Arabidopsis thaliana: one gene and its partners. The protein of the gene in region 1 interacts with the protein of each later gene in a pairwise test. Each region holds a gene or a part of one and is shown in the gene's direction. Other genes may lie near its edges.

Evidence for each region. The genes of interacting proteins can lie anywhere in the genome.
Region 2: the proteins of CRK40 (region 1) and AT1G03730 interact in a protein complementation assay, tested with the Arabidopsis thaliana proteins (one large-scale study listed by BioGRID).
Region 3: the proteins of CRK40 (region 1) and MYB33 interact in a protein complementation assay, tested with the Arabidopsis thaliana proteins (one large-scale study listed by BioGRID).

Annotation. Positions count from the first base shown.
Region 1 is NC_003075.7:2,287,612-2,293,802, forward strand, and holds CRK40 (cysteine-rich RLK (RECEPTOR-like protein kinase) 40), read left to right. Parts: upstream 1-2,290; 5' UTR 2,291-2,433; coding exon 2,434-3,274; intron 3,275-3,436; coding exon 3,437-3,553; intron 3,554-3,623; coding exon 3,624-3,757; intron 3,758-3,844; coding exon 3,845-4,055; intron 4,056-4,134; coding exon 4,135-4,372; intron 4,373-4,469; coding exon 4,470-4,608; coding exon of another isoform or gene 4,609-4,644; exon of another isoform or gene 4,645-4,821; coding exon 4,822-5,106; 3' UTR 5,107-5,339; downstream 5,340-6,191. Other genes in the region: AT4G04580 (Homeodomain-like superfamily protein), read right to left, coding at 6,150-6,191.
Region 2 is NC_003070.9:929,357-933,751, reverse strand, and holds AT1G03730 (pyrroline-5-carboxylate reductase), read left to right. Parts: upstream 1-1,766; 5' UTR 1,767-2,231; coding exon 2,232-2,735; 3' UTR 2,736-3,037; downstream 3,038-4,395.
Region 3 is NC_003076.8:1,835,626-1,842,085, forward strand, and holds MYB33 (myb domain protein 33), read left to right. Parts: upstream 1-2,209; 5' UTR 2,210-2,404; exon of another isoform or gene 2,405-2,741; 5' UTR 2,742-2,796; exon of another isoform or gene 2,797-2,877; 5' UTR 2,878-2,929; coding exon 2,930-3,274; intron 3,275-3,361; coding exon 3,362-4,328; coding exon of another isoform or gene 4,329-4,372; exon of another isoform or gene 4,373-4,510; coding exon 4,511-4,761; 3' UTR 4,762-5,102; downstream 5,103-6,460. Other genes in the region: GPAT7 (glycerol-3-phosphate acyltransferase 7), read left to right, coding at 1-62, 177-1,097; AT5G06110 (DnaJ and myb-like DNA-binding domain-containing protein), read right to left, coding at 5,384-6,460. UniProt on the Arabidopsis thaliana protein: Transcriptional activator of alpha-amylase expression that binds to 5'-CAACTGTC-3' motif in target gene promoter. Positive regulator of abscisic acid (ABA) responses leading to growth arrest during seed germination.

The DNA of each region.
Region 1 (6,191 bases):
TCATTGTTCCCCACTTGTTGCGAAAGAACACCTTTGTTCTTCTTCATCCAGCAATCACTCTCATTGTGATTTTTACGTTCGCAAACGTCACACCATTTCCCAGCCTGCGTTTGACGCTTGTCTTCACGTTTGTTTTCTCCATAGAACGCTCCTTCCGTTGATCATTCGTCTCGCATCTCTACCCGCTTCTCGTGTGCTTTCAATGTGCCTATCAACTATGTTACGGACAACGAAGTCAGATCCTTCGTTTGCTTCATCATAGCCACTATGATGTCAAATCTTTTCGGAAGAGAAATTAGGATTTTTTGCACTATTTGATAGTCTGATTTCTCTTCTCCATGAACTCTCAGTTGATTTCCCATCTCAATCAACTTGGTCATGAAAGTGTTGATATTGTCACTTTCTTTCATCTTCAAATTCTCATACTCCCTTCTAAGAGATTGAAGCTTTATCATCCTGACTTGTGGTGATCCTTGAAATTCCAATACCAAGGCTTTCCAAGTGCGCTTGATGCAGGGGCGATTCTCGGAAATATGGAATCTGAGACGGCAGTTTGAAGAATTTGCAAAGCGGTTAGATCCTTTAAGGATGCTGCTTCACATCGTGTCTTTTGTTGCACTGCTTCAGGGCTATGATCTCCTTCTGCGGGTGGTTTTGGAACTCCTTCGTCAACAATTTCCCACAGTTTCTTTGTCTGGAAAATTGTTTTCATCTTGATGCGCCAAAAACCATAATTCTCTTTGTTGAAGATTGGAGTCACAATGTGTGACACCATCTCCATAACTCTCTCGTGTTTATTAAACTCTTTACTTGAAATGTTTGGCCCTTGAATCAGTAGGGCTCTGATACCATGTTGGAAATTGAAGCCTCTTGTTACAAAGAAAAAACAAGTGTTTACTTGTTGTTCTGTTTCTTATGAGATACACAAAGCAAAAGAGAAACTGACTTTTATTGAATGGAGAACTTGTTCGTTTCATCACGATACAAAAAGTTTAAATAGAAAACAAATAGACACAATAAGTAAAGAGTTGTGTCTCTTTCTCTCTAAGATAAACGACACAACCTAATCTAAAAGTCACGACTCTAACAAACACCTTTTAATACAACATAATTATAACTTATAGACCAAACTCAATTATAAACTAACAGATTTGATGCAGCTTCCTAATTTCCAACAGCTCCATGATGTTTATCAGCTCGTTGTTGTCAGAATCTGCATCTTCATAAATTTATAATAAATATAAATATATAATGTATAACTGTATGTAGAACCGTATATTGTGGATCCGTGAATTGGTGGAAGAGTTGCTATTGCGGAATCGTCCAAGAAGCTATTCATAAAATCAATCACGAAAGAAAAAGAATTTGTTTTGCTATTATCTCTATATTGTGGGTAGCCATTTTTGGAATCTTTGAAAAATCAACCAATACGCATTTTCTCTCAGTTTGGAAGTTAACAAAGACGCGTTTTTTCAAGGTTTTGTGGGGACTGGGGACCAAAAGTTCTTAATATGGGTTAACGTCTCACAGGTAATACCAAACATTTCATTTATTTGTGTTTTTCTATCACTATCTTTTCCACATTTTAGTATTTTACTATTACATATAATTTTTGACTAAGAAGTTGATTGTGAATGAGTCTGTACATCTTCCTAGAAATGATTATAAGTATATTATTTAATTTGTTACTCCCTCTATTGTCATTTATTTGTAGTTTAAGTTTCAAGGTTTTGGCACAAATGAAATTATTTCGTTTTTTATTATTATCTTTTAATATAGTTAATTATCTATTTAAAAACAATTCAACAAATTGAAAAAAAAGTTTTGTAGAATTTCTAAGAGTCAAAAATAATAAAATTTCCATTAAAAATTGAAAACAACAAATAAAATGAAACTATTTGTTTTTGCTTAAACAACACTTCTTAAAAAACAGAGGAACCATTGTAAAATAGATTTTTCCCAACACAAATCGAAAACGTAACTTATATAATCTCTATATTTTTAGTAATTCAGCGACTTATCATTTCATTGTTAACTATTTTTCACTGACATGTTTCTCGTTATATAAAAGTCTCTGTTTATGTCAATGGTCGTATGTGAATGGTTCATGTATTATGCAAAACTGTTTATGATAATATTGCCGGGGAAAAAAAACTGCCATGTTTCATTTTTTTACTAGTTATTACATTTGATTATTATCAACCAACTTACCATTGAAAGATAACTTGTGATTATTATTTACAGTAACGAAGAAAATTAGGCCATATTTTGTTTTCTTTTTGGAACCTTTCAAATGTCAAAGCTGGTAGGCTATATAAATATAAACAAAGCTCAAAAATTTATTACTATACTTAACAGTAACGAAGTAGACTACTTCAAGTAGTACATCAAAAAAAAAAAAACCAAAGAAGTTGTTATCTTTAACAAACAAAAATGGGAAAATGCTCTGCTTTGATGATATTCCTCTCTTCTTCTCTTCTACTTGTCCTTCAAACACTCCATGTTGTTAACGCGGTCAAATGTTTCGGAAACTCCTTCAACGGTAACAGCAGCACCTTCGCTCAGAATCGCCAGAAACTGTTCCCTACTCTTGCTGACAAAGTCATCATCAACGACGGATTCTACAACGCTTCACTCGGCCAAGATCCCGACAAAGTTTACGCTCTTGTCAGCTGCGCAAGAGGCTACGACCAAGACGCTTGTTACAATTGTGTCCAATCATTGACTCAGAACACACTAACAGATTGTCGAAGCCGTAGGGATTCGTTCATATGGGGAGGCAATGACGATGTAACTTGTCTTGTACGTTCCTCAAACCAGTCTACTTTTGGGAGCGTCCAGCTTAAACCTCCTGTTGTATGGCCAAGTCCAGATACTATAGAGTCATCTAAAAACATAACCCTTTTCAAACAACAGTGGGAAGAAATGGTTAATCGGACCCTAGAGGCTGCCACGAAAGCTGAAGGTTCCTCGGTGCTTAAGTACTATAAGGCCGAAAAAGCGGGTTTCACCGAGTTTCCAGATGTTTACATGCTGATGCAATGCACACCCGACTTAAGTTCACGAGATTGCAAGCAATGTTTGGGAGATTGCGTGATGTACTTTAGAAAAGACTATATGGGAAGAAAAGGAGGCATGGCTAGTCTTCCAAGCTGTTATTTCAGGTGGGATCTATATTCTTTCCATAATGCTTTTGATAATGTAACAAGAGTTCCTGCGCCTCCTCCTCGACCTCATGCTCAGGAAAAGGAGAGCTGCATAACAGTAAAAAAAGGTAACACAAATTATTTTAGCTTTCATTTAGAGCTCAAAAGAGCCAATTTTGAGGAATATTGTTTACATAAGTGACATGAAGCGGTTTGGTATGAACTTTTCGTGCCAAATTGTTATTATGATTAAGAGGTTAATTCTTAGACAAAGGGTTGGTAATTTGCAGGGAAAAGCATTGGGTATGGCGGAATTATCGCAATAGTTGTGGTGTTTACTTTCATTAATCTTTTGGTGTTTATTGGCTTTATCAAAGTCTATGCACGGAGGGGAAAATTAAATAATGGTAAGTGTAACTTGCTTCAATCAAGCTTATGATGTAGAGAGTAAGGCTTATGGATTTTTTGTTTTTTTAGTTGGTAGTGCAGAATACTCTGATTCTGATGGTCAATTCATGTTACGGTTTGATCTTGGTATGATCGTAATGGCAACTGATGACTTCTCCTCTGAAAATACGCTTGGCCAAGGTGGATTTGGTACGGTTTATAAGGTAATAATAAACTTTTTCCTTAATGATGAGTTCTTGATCAACATTGGTCTTTTATGAGTAAATAGATATCTTGAGAATGGGTTTCAGGGGACATTCCCAAACGGGCAAGAGGTAGCGGTCAAGAGACTAACAAAAGGATCAGGACAAGGAGATATGGAGTTTAAGAATGAGGTTTCACTCTTGACAAGACTCCAACATAAGAATCTTGTTAAGCTTCTTGGGTTCTGTAATGAGGGAGATGAAGAGATTCTTGTCTACGAGTTTGTCCCCAACTCAAGTCTTGATCACTTTATCTTTGGTGAGCCTTCGAAAGACAGCTGCCAAGTTGGATAGATTTAGAACTTTTAGCAAACTAAATGTTTCTTTGAACTCTGCAGATGAAGATAAGCGTTCTCTTCTTACATGGGAGGTGAGGTTCAGAATTATAGAAGGCATTGCTCGAGGTCTTCTCTATCTCCATGAAGATTCTCAGCTGAAGATTATTCACAGAGACTTGAAGGCAAGCAACATACTTTTAGACGCTGAGATGAACCCTAAAGTTGCGGATTTCGGGACTGCGAGGTTGTTCGACTCCGACGAGACTCGAGCTGAAACAAAAAGAATAGCTGGAACCCGGTAAGAAATATATCAATCAAATTTGATGACACATTTCAAATGCTCTGTTTTGAAAACAGAGTCCATGAATTAATGCTATTGGTTTGCATATATGCAGTGGATATATGGCTCCTGAGTACTTGAATCATGGACAAATCTCAGCTAAATCTGACGTTTATAGCTTCGGTGTTATGCTTCTAGAGATGATTAGTGGTGAAAGAAACAATAGCTTCGAAGGAGAAGGACTTGCAGCTTTTGTAAGCTTCTTCACAATTTTTTTTTTTTTTGAATAGCTGGAGGTTTTGGGCCGAAGCCCGTAATCCCCCCAGGACCGAAACCACAGCATGTAATATTAGTTTCGTTCCAAGCGTTACTCGAACCGGCGACCTTAAGCTTCTTCACATATCAGTTTTTGTTTTTCTATCTTCAAAACTTTATCCCGAAAGTAAGAACTTATGTTTTTGGTGTAGGCATGGAAAAGATGGGTTGAAGGAAAGCCTGAGATTATAATTGATCCGTTCTTAATAGAGAATCCAAGAAATGAGATCATCAAGTTGATCCAAATTGGTTTGTTGTGTGTTCAAGAGAATTCAACAAAGAGACCAACCATGAGCTCTGTAATAATTTGGCTTGGCAGTGAGACTATCATCATTCCTTTACCTAAAGCTCCTGCTTTCACTTGGATTCGATCCCAATCTGAAAGTGGTGCAATGTCATTGAGCGACGATGTCTTCACGGAGTTGAGTTGTCGTTGAGATATACATCAGTTAATCAAAATATTTGAATATTTTTTAATATCAAACTCCATTAATCTGCAAATTTGTTAGTAAATCGCATAATCTTGGATTCGAACTTTAGACTTCTTTGGTGTAAAGGCTTTATTAACTCTTGATTAACCTTTGGGCCAAGAGGGTTTTCGCGTCCAGTTTTGTTTTAAAACTATTTTCACCAATATTAATTAATATTATAGAGGTAAGAAATAAATAAACTTAAAATGTTGCACATATAAATATGATTTAATAATAACTGAAATATCTTATAAATCTCAATTAGGAGAAGATAATAAATCTTTTCTTAACAATCAGATAAAATATCAGTTCTTAATTTCAGTTACTTTATTCTGATATATCTTACTCTAAATAGAATTATAAAGAAGTTTTTTTCTTTCTTTTTGTTAAAACAAATATTATAATATAACAATTGTTTTTAAGTATTTTCACATTAATTCCCAAAACAAAATATATCACGTACCTAATATAGTTCTCCCTAATATATTTCTTCTAAATGACCAATAAATTTCAAAGTTGATTTTAATTTTACATGACCAATAGAGTGAGGATAAAAAATCTTTTCTGACCAATCAAATTCCTGATTTTAGCCACTCTACTTGATTCTTATCTTAGTATGAACATATATATAAGGAAGTTTTTTTTTTGTTGTTGAAAATATAATATAAGGAATTTTCCTTGATATTTTCAGAATTCCCAAATAAGAGTATATCTATGTACCTAATATAGTTCTTTCTAATATATTTTTCTAAATATATACCTAAACAAAATCTAGTGCAGCCGAATATTGTCAAAGACTCAAAGTTGCTTTCAATTTTGTAATAGAAATATTTTATATAAATAATATTTCCCCCAAATAGCATGGATGCAAAATCACATAATAGCATTATAAATAGAATACCATAAAATATTGTTCAGTTTTTATTTTTCTTATCCCATTATATATATGAGATAAGCATTACATAAAATAGAGAGCAAGCATAAAAAAAAAGATAGAAACCAAACTCCTCTTAGTACTTGCGACCAAGAGTGAGTTCAAGGGACAATTCTTC
Region 2 (4,395 bases), on another chromosome or scaffold:
GGAGAGAAATTGATGAAGATTGACTTTAGGCAAAGCGTTGAATAGAATCAAAGAGGGTTGCGGAGAGAATATGTAAGGAAAGGGGAGATTTTTATTTGTTAGTTGTAGCAGATTTGACTAATTAAACGATTACGTAGAGTGAGTCACTATCATCGATCGATGTATGAACGGATTCATAAAAAAAATAGCTAAATGTCAATAACCAACTTAGCCGCCTTTCGTCGACCAAAGTTAGATTTTTCTCCACATCTCTCTCTCTCAGTCTCTCTATGGCTCTATCTCATCATCATTCATGGAATTCTCTTTCATTTATTTTTATTTTTTAAAATGTTCAGATTTTATTAAATGTAAGTTTGATTGGTATCATCATTCAGCCTATTCAAATAATTGTATCAAGACTTGTTTTAGTCAACATTTTTTTTTTGTCAACCTTTTAAATGGTAGATAAAATTGGTTGAAAATTTTAAAATAAACTTAGAGCATTATTATAGTCTTTCAATCTATTTGATCATCGCTCTTACAAGACTAATTGTATTGACTTTTTATTTCGTTTGAAATTATTCTAATTGTTTAGTTTTTTTTTTTTTTTTTAATTGTTTAGTTTTCGTGTATGAAGTTCTTATAATTTAACATGTGGACTAAAACAGTGAAGACAAAAATATAAGAAATTAATCACGAGTATAAAGAAGTTCAGAATTGTGATAGGAAGATGTTGTTTGACTCAAATAATTTGCCAAATACATGTGCACACGCGTGTGTTTGTAAATAACTAAAATAGAATAATTTATGAAATACTTTAATTTACTTGGCTCACACGACAGCCCGATGTCTTTAGAACTAATTCATTTACTTATTTTAAAAAAAAATCAAAGTGTATTAAATATAGAGATCGTCAATAGGATGCCGACACCTTCATCGGCATGCGGACCATGCGGTGTTGCCAATTTGCCATCGCGACCGTGTTGTATGGCAAAATTGGACTCCGTTTCCGGTCATGGGATTATGAACTAGAAGATTCTTTGAAGTGTACATCAATAGAAGACTACAAAACTGGAAGATTATTTGTTTAATGTTCTTACAAATTAATTCTCAAAGTCGTGTCAACTTCCATATTAGAAAAGCGTTTGACACATAACAAAGTCGTTGCAATCGTTCGTACGTGAAATTGTTACAAATGTCAAGGGACGTTAAATTGTTTCATATGCCAAGTAAATCTTAGTATTCCAAATGTCCAATTACTTGGAAGATGGTTTACCATACAATACCACATCCATATCCAATTTTAAAAATGTTTGATTGTAGATTCTCAACTTATATGATTAGTGTTCCATATATTGTAGATAAATGCTTAATCTCATTTGATGACTAGACGGAAGAATATTAAAATCCATATTCAAGAGAAAAAGCTAAGACTTCCATAAGAAAAAGACAATCGCATGCATTCAAGAATTTGCTAGCGGTGAACGTCAAGAAGTTTCGTTCCTTTAGAGTCTTCTTCATAAAAGATAGACAAAACAAAACAAAACAAAAAAGGTAAAATGTCATTAAAGGTTAGAATAAATAGACGATTCTTTTATTTTAGTTTGTCGGCTATAATAAGCGTAGAGGCGCACTATCAAGCCAAATCGCATTAAAAAAAAGAAAAGGAAAGACAAATCGCATTTGTTTGTTTGTCCCTAACTTGCTATACGACTAAACTAAAAAAAAAAAAGAAGATAATGCATTACGTCTCAAACAGATTTGTTGAAGTAAAAAATGGTATAAACAGAAATCGCGTTTCGTCATTAGTATTTAATTTCATAATTCCGAGAGGAGAAAGAAATAAACGAAGAAAAGAGTAATTAAGTGATATTAATGGAAATAATAATATTTTTGATCAGAGTGAGTTCACGCAGTTTCCATGTATATTCATTTGTTCCTAATTTCCATGTCTGGTCTCTTTTGGGGGAAATCAATAAATAAAACGAAACTTAAGCGCGTGTACTCCACTACAAGCCTCTAAACCAACGAGTGATTAACACGCGCTTTAACATGAGAGTGGGACTCACGTGAACTAATCTATTTTCCCCAAATCTGAAGACTTTCACTTTTTTTTTTGTGCTCTCTCTCTTCTTCTTCTTCTTCTTCTTCTTCTTCTAGTTCTTCAGCACAAATCTCAAATCACGGAGATTTCAATTTCCAACACAAAGAAAGAAAAAATCCCTCAATAAAAAATCTCAATCAGATCGCCGATGATGGATCCAACAGGATCGCCAAGAACATCGAATGGCTCTCCTCCAAGATCGTACCTTATCTTTATGCGAATCATGAGCAAGAGACGGACATGGGTTTGTCTCTTTGTAGCTGTCTACGCGATTCTCCTGGCTTCCTCATGGAACTTTCTCACATCTGTGCTTAGCTGGTACAAGCTCCAGTACACGTCATCGCCGTCTCCGTCAAGATTACCGGCGGTTTACGCGTCTGTGGTGTTAGGAGCTGTGTTTGGAGCCATGTCGATGGTTGCGGCGGCTGCGGTTGCGGTTCCGGCGGTTATGGTGATCTGGATATCGGTGGTTGTGTTGCTTGCGTTTTTTGGGAAATCGAGAAGGGTATTGGTTGTTGAAGCTCGTAAGATTACAAGAGAAGTGTTTGGATTTGTGTTTAAGGTTCTTTTGAAAGAAGGCAATGCTGTTGCTGCGGTTTGTGCTGTTTTGGGTTATTTCATTCTTATTAGAAAGGATTTTGATTCGATTTAGGGTTTTTGATTTTGGGAAATTTTCTTCTCTTTTTTTATTATTATTGGATTAGGTGGGTTTTTCTTTCTTTCCTGGAAATTTGACTATTATATTGAAGAAACTCTTGTCTTTTGCTTCTTGTTTAACTTGTTGCTAATGTAGCAATGTATATGTACATTTTATAAACGGAGATGTTCTTGAATCACTATCATTATTATTTCTTGAAAGCGTGTCAAATTATTACATTTTGGCGAATGTTAGCTATCCATTGTTGGTTGGGTTCAAGGTACTTCTTTTTGGTAAACCATAGCAGAAATATAACCTGTACCAACAAAATATCCTAGCAATAAAAAAATAATATATATATATATATATCCTACCTAGCAACAAAACTGAACAAAGTATCCAACTACTAATTCATGCATTTCTCATTTTTTTTTTTTTTTTGGGGACGCTTCCATGATAGTATTAAAATTTGGTATATTCATTATTTTTATTAATCAATTTGTTCATTTTCCTAAAATTACTTATCTTTTTGCTTATAATTTACCCTCTCTTTTTTTGTGTCTAGTTGATTACTTACTTTTTACTTCTTCTCAAATGATGACCTGAATTTTTCTCGTAAGTTCATTATTAACTAAGTTTTAGTAAGCAGACCATGTAGAGTGTTCTAAAGATTACTACAAGTGATTATGTCTTGGAATTTAGGCCCATCTCCCATACGCCATACATTAGACAATTTAAACGTAGTTAATAATGGATAAGCTATGATTTAGTGAAATACTTTCTATTGCAAAACCAAGCTGTGAATATCATTTCTTGGGACGAGTGAAGGGAGAACTGAGAACGATTAAATCCAAGCCAAAATTGTATTAGTTATCCAACCCGAATAATAAAAATAGGGAAATCAATATTCTTATTGTATTAGTAAAAATGAACAGTGTAATTAAGCATAACCCCCAGAAATAACAGATAAATAAAAAATAAATTATTATTATTAAACTCAAAACTATGGTCTCGGTCTCTCGGACATATCAATTATTAAACAAAAATTAGGTGTTTTTGGGCTTTGTGGCCCATGTGTGTTCACGAGCCTCTCTTATCTGGGCCTGGTTTCCCCTTGTGGGCGTTTCCTCTGTTCATCATGTAATGGGTATGGTCCAATTTATATGTTTTCGTATGCTCCTAAAAAAATGAAAACCTTTTAATAAAAATAATAATAAACAACAATATGTTTACATATTTCTTAACTTGAACAGTAATCCTTACCCTTACCTTATAGTGCCTAAACTTTCAGTTGATTTACAGACTATTCGTTAACTAGTATTTTGGCAATGAGAGCAGAATTCTCCAAATTTGAGTTTGCAATTTGTTATAAAAATAATTGATTTTGTTGATGTTTAGTAATATTTTTTTTCTTTTCAATGTAATGTTTAGTAATTTCTCTATGTGTGAGAGAGTGAGATTGGCCAAAAAAGGAGGGAAAACAAAAACTTTGAGATTTGGCACGAAAACCAATTATGATAACAAAAGTCCATCTGTACGGAAAAGATTGAAAAAGTGGAGCTGGTTTCAAAACTCAAATTTGTTGGAACAATAAATTAGTAGTCGTGTAAATTTACAAAAACTTTTGTATATTCGTAGTCAGTTTTAAGAGAGATCTAAACCAATACTGGTCGTT
Region 3 (6,460 bases), on another chromosome or scaffold:
CTCAACTAGGTCTAGGACGACATATTATCTCGGATTCTCCAACTTTCCTATCTTTATGTGAGGTAAGTACTAAAGACAACATAACGTTAGGAATTCTTTTAGGTTGTTTTATAATTTATGAAAGCGTTACTATCATTTTTCTAATCTGAATGATTGCATATGTTATGTACATGTAGGAGCAAGTTCATGCACCAGTTCCATCGAACTACAACGGTCATAACCAGCGGCTACATGTGCAGCCGTTACCAGTTATCTTCCACGATGGACGACTTGTGAAGCTACCAACACCAGCCACCGCACTCATCATCCTTCTTTGGATCCCCTTTGGAATAATTCTAGCCATGATTCGGATATTCGTTGGGTTCTTACTTCCATTATGGGCCATACCTTACGTCTCACGGATATTCAACACTCGATTCATCGTAAAAGGAAAGCCTCCGGCACAAGCAACCACCGGAAACCCAGGCGTACTATTCGTATGCACTCATAGAACTCTAATGGATCCGGTCGTATTATCCTATGTGCTCGGACGTAGCATTCCAGCTGTTACCTACTCTATTTCTCGTTTATCCGAGATCCTATCTCCGATTCCAACCTTTAGGTTAACTAGAATTCGAGATGTAGATGCGGAGATGATCAAGAAAGAACTGTCTAATGGGGACTTAGTGGTATATCCCGAGGGAACCACTTGTCGCGAGCCGTTTTTGCTGAGATTTAGCGCGCTTTTCGCAGAATTAACCGACAATATTGTGCCCGTGGCAATGAACTACAGAGTTGGATTCTTTCATGCGACTACCGCTAGAGGCTGGAAAGGTTTGGACCCGATCTTCTTTTTCATGAACCCGAGACCGGTTTATGAGGTGACGTTCTTGAACCAGCTCGAGGTGGAGGCGACGTGTTCGTCAGGGAAGAGCCCTTATGACGTGGCTAACTATGTACAGAGAATCTTGGCAGCTACGTTAGGCTTTGAGTGTACTAACTTTACGAGGAAGGATAAGTATAGAGTTCTCGCAGGGAACGACGGAACCGTGTCGTATTTGTCGTTTCTCGATCAAGTCAAGAAGGTCGTCACCACTTTCAAACCTTTTTTGCATTAATTTACAAGTTATTTTGATAATTATATACTCTAAATTACGCGATCACTGATTGCTTAAGTTTTCATTTTTAAAGATTTTTTTGTTGAAAGTATATTATGACTACGGTTTTGTGTTTTTTTTTTCCTTACTTTATAAATTGTCGAATGTAATCGCAAGTATATTAACCTTTTTGTTAAAAGTTGAAATTAAATACATGACAACGTTTTTACATATCTTTCAAAAGAGAGCCCAATAGAATAATTTCCTTGGGACATTTTCGCTTTATGAAAATACGTTGACAAAATTGTCCAAATATTCTATATATCTAACTACTTGTTAGTTAAATTTGGTTATGTTTAATTTACATCACATCTTAAAAGAATGTATAGAATTGTTTTCAATCATACAAACTAAGGGTGAGAAAAATAATGGTTGGTAATGCACAGACGATTAATAGTTTGGTGGTGGTAGCTAAGAAATTGATTAAGGAAACTTGAGCTGCAAATATCATCTTATAACTTTTTTGATCAAATAATAGTTAATTGCGTATTTGGTTGGATGATGACAATCTCTTTGACCGCCAAATTTTTAGCTGCCGCCTTCCCGTTAGAGTTGGCCAACTTTTAGATTCGCCACATTAACAAAATAGTTAATAGTACATGCTTCAGAAAACAGTTAACATTATAAAATTTTCTAGATTAATTAGGTTAATAATACTAAAGAAAAATGTTTTATTTGTTTGTTTTATTCTTAAGAAGAAGAAACGTAATGGGCTTTAGTATCTCTAACTTGAATTCTGTTGTGGGCTTTTCTTTAGGATCAGAAGTAGGTTTCGTAAGCCTAGTGTTGTCCTTATACGGGAATATACATACGTATAAACATACGACACAACATGAAATGAGATAAAGAGAGTGACCAAAAAAGGCTGCAAAAAGGTGACCAATTCAACTCTATTTCTTTCTTACAAGTTACAACTCTTTCAAATCAATTATTCAATCTCACTCTTTTACTATCTGAATGCATTTCAGTTAATAAACCAAAAGGATTGTCTTCATAAGCTGCTTTTATTTTTGCTTAAGCTTTGATTTAGTAAAAACTCTGATTAATTTTTAGTAACATAATTACAATGCTAATAACAATAATAAAATAGTTAATTTTCACAAGTTATCGTATTATAATATATTTAAGAAAACGTTTTAGAAAAAGAAAAATGGGATAGAAAGTAGAAAAGAGTAAAAGGAAGAGAAAGAGCTAAGCTTCTCTCCCTCCTTCCATTTCCACTCGATGTTCAGCTGCCCAAGCTAAGCTCGGATCTCTATCCAGCTTTGGTATTTTCCTTAGCCTTGAGCTTCTCTCCGCGTAAATATAATTTTTTGTTTCTAGATTATCTTTCCGTTTCTATCTCGAATTGCTGCTTTTCATGGATCTATGATTGATTAGTCCTTAGGATCTTTAAAAACTTTCAATTTCAGCTTAGATTTCAAATCAGGTTTTCTGTTTTTTCATATTCATAATCTGATAGTATCTTCTTTGTGCGTTCTGATCTATTTCAGCTGATCTTTATCTGCGCTTTCGATTGATGTTTGCATCAGCTTTGTTGTTGATCTTCTTCGTAATAGACTACTAATCTTCTCAATCTAATTTTTATTCTCTGTTGGTTTTCAGGTATCCAGCGTCTGACAGTTCTGGATTTTGTTTTTTTTTTCTTTCCTTATTTAGGGTTTGTTTTCCTCTTTCGTCTCTTTTAATTCTTTATGACTATGAACTTTCTTTATTTCAAGCTGAAGTTTTTGGTGTTTAGGTGGGAGCTTGATGTCTAAATTGTTACTGTCAGTGGTTTAATTAGAAAAGAGATGAGTTACACGAGCACTGACAGTGACCATAATGAGTCACCAGCTGCTGATGATAATGGAAGTGACTGCAGAAGTAGATGGGATGGTCATGCTCTCAAGAAAGGCCCTTGGAGTTCAGCTGAAGATGATATTCTTATTGACTATGTGAATAAGCATGGTGAGGGTAACTGGAATGCTGTGCAGAAACACACCAGCTTGTTTCGTTGTGGTAAAAGCTGTCGTCTAAGATGGGCTAATCATCTGAGGCCAAATTTGAAGAAAGGAGCTTTTAGTCAAGAAGAAGAACAGCTTATCGTTGAATTGCATGCCAAGATGGGTAATAGATGGGCACGTATGGCTGCACATGTAAGTGTTTTGTTTCTGATAAGGATATGGTTCCTTTTGTAAAAGTGTGTTTCGAGACTAATTTCATAGAGTTTTTGTTTGCTCCAGTTGCCTGGCCGAACGGATAATGAGATAAAGAATTATTGGAACACTCGTATCAAGAGGCGACAACGAGCTGGTTTGCCACTTTATCCTCCTGAGATGCATGTTGAGGCACTTGAGTGGAGTCAAGAGTATGCCAAGAGTAGAGTTATGGGAGAAGATAGAAGACATCAAGATTTCTTGCAGCTGGGGAGTTGTGAATCTAATGTCTTCTTTGATACTCTTAATTTTACCGACATGGTACCTGGTACTTTTGATCTAGCAGATATGACTGCCTACAAAAATATGGGTAACTGTGCAAGTTCTCCTCGATATGAAAACTTCATGACACCAACAATCCCCTCCTCGAAGCGACTTTGGGAATCTGAGTTGTTGTATCCTGGGTGTAGCAGTACCATAAAGCAAGAATTCTCGTCGCCTGAACAATTCCGGAACACATCTCCACAAACGATTTCCAAAACTTGCAGCTTCTCAGTTCCTTGTGATGTTGAGCATCCTCTCTATGGAAACCGACATTCACCTGTTATGATTCCAGATAGCCATACCCCTACGGATGGCATTGTTCCTTATTCTAAGCCCTTATATGGGGCAGTGAAGCTGGAGCTCCCTTCATTCCAATATTCAGAAACAACATTTGACCAGTGGAAGAAATCGTCATCTCCTCCACACTCTGATCTCCTTGATCCCTTTGATACTTACATTCAGTCTCCACCACCACCAACGGGGGGAGAAGAGTCAGATTTATATTCAAATTTTGATACTGGTCTGCTCGATATGTTGCTTCTGGAAGCCAAGATCAGAAATAATAGTACAAAGAACAATTTGTACAGGAGCTGCGCTTCAACTATTCCATCAGCTGATCTTGGCCAGGTTACTGTATCCCAAACTAAATCCGAGGAGTTTGACAATTCCCTTAAGAGCTTCTTGGTTCATTCCGAAATGTCCACACAAAATGCAGATGAAACTCCACCAAGTGAGTTACTATTCACCTTACCATCACTTGAAATAGTTTGTTGAAGATTTCATCTTTTTCCCTAGAATTCTATTTGGTATCCTGATTTTACTTTTTGAGAATCATCACTTGCATTAATTTGTTTCTTATAGCCGAGATTTTGAGCTGATCAAGAACTCACCTAAACTTAAAAAATTATGCAGGGCAGAGAGAAAAAAAGCGGAAACCTCTCTTGGATATAACAAGGCCTGACGTTTTGCTTGCATCGAGCTGGCTTGACCATGGTTTAGGGATTGTGAAAGAGACAGGTAGCATGAGCGACGCACTCGCGGTTCTCCTTGGCGATGACATAGGAAATGACTATATGAATATGAGTGTTGGGGCATCCTCAGGAGTTGGGTCTTGTTCTTGGAGCAACATGCCACCTGTCTGTCAAATGACAGAACTACCCTAACGAGCCCGGGAAATCCTCCACTCCATTGGTGGTGTGGATTGGATTAGAGCCGTTCAGAATCTGTCAGTTCTCACTTCTCATGGTCATGGACTAGCAACTGCCAATGCAAGAACAATATCTTTTCTTTGAGCCTTTTGATCACAGCCGATACTTTGTTGGCTTCTGTACCAATAACCCATAATGACGATTCATCAGGAGGATGAAGTGGTTGATTTTGTAGAACTGGCTTCTTTAAGGACTATGGTATACATACAGACAGTTGATTTGATTCAATGTTAAACAGAGAATTGTTTCTTTTAATATATTTCTCTTTGGATTAAGTTTGATTTCGCTTTGGTTTATCAACGACTCCCTTCGGCTATTCGTTTGTAGACTAGATAGAAAAATGAAAACAAGATAACACCAGACGATCAAAAAATTAAATAAAGACAGAGAGCATAAATAAAATTAGAACAAAATAGATAAATAAGAATAGATTCGGTTGTCAAAAACTCTATGTAGAATAAGAGCAGCATGATGATGTATACGAATTACGAAAATATGAATTGTAGCAAAAATTGAGTCCACGCTCATCTCTGTCAAAACAAAATCTCAAAGCGTGCAGCTCGAGGAATCGGATAGGTTAGGCTGTGGGTTTCTTGGTTCTGATGACGTCCTTAAGATCAGCAAACTTCTTCTTGCATTGATTCATCGTTTTCCCTGGAACAGCTGTTGCTACTCTCTCCCATCTTTGGTTTGTCTCCTTTGGGAACGTCTTCAAAGCCTGTACCAGAGCTCTTTCTTGCACAGCAGACCAACCGTCTGGGTCTGAACCAGATGCTGCTGCTGGTTCAGAGTTGCCGTTACTGTTGTTGTTCTCTTTGGTCTTACCGTTCTGTTCTGCGGTCTCTGTTTTGGTTGAGTTGTTGTCTTCATGAGCTTTGGTCGGTATAATTGGTTCTCCGAGTTCCTCTCGTGTAGAGAGAGGAGAGTTGATTGAAGCGGCAGGTTTCCTATTCTCCAGAAAAGAGTCAAAAGCTTTAGCTGAGTCGGGTTTCTGGAGAAGTACTGTTTTAGTAGCCTTGAGAATTTCCTCCACAGATCTTCCTGTACCAATGTACTCTGATATGACTTCCCATCTCTGAGATGTTCCTTTTGGGAACTTGGTTGTTCCTTTTCTCAGCATGTCAATCTCTTCCTTGCTCCAAGGTTTCTCTTTCTTCTCATGAGTAGCAGTATCCACTTTGGCTTCTACATGACCATTGGCTTCTACATGACCATTGGCTTCTATATGACCATTCTGCTTAACAGCTACTTGAACTTCTTCTTCTTCAATCTCTATTTTATCATCATCAATGTTGCTCCCATTCTTGATCACCTTTGCCAAAGCCATCCCTTCCTTGTTTTCCATCTTGTCACACAGTTTCCGCAACTGCTCGGTGTTAAGTGACATGCATAGATCTTCCACATGTTCATCAGATATGCCAAGCAGACGCTGGGACAGAACAGGGGCGGAGAGAACTCTGAGCCGACTTCGTTCTTTGCGCAGAAGCTTCTTCTCTCTTTCCTTGGCTCTCTTGTGCAGCTGAGCAGCCTCTGCCGCACGTTTTGCTTCTTCTTCTTTTCGCCTTTTCTCTTCTTCAATAGCTGCAGCAGCAGCTTCTTCCTGCTGCCTCTTGGCCATAACTTTTGCTTCTTTCTTCTGCAGCTTCTTAGCCTT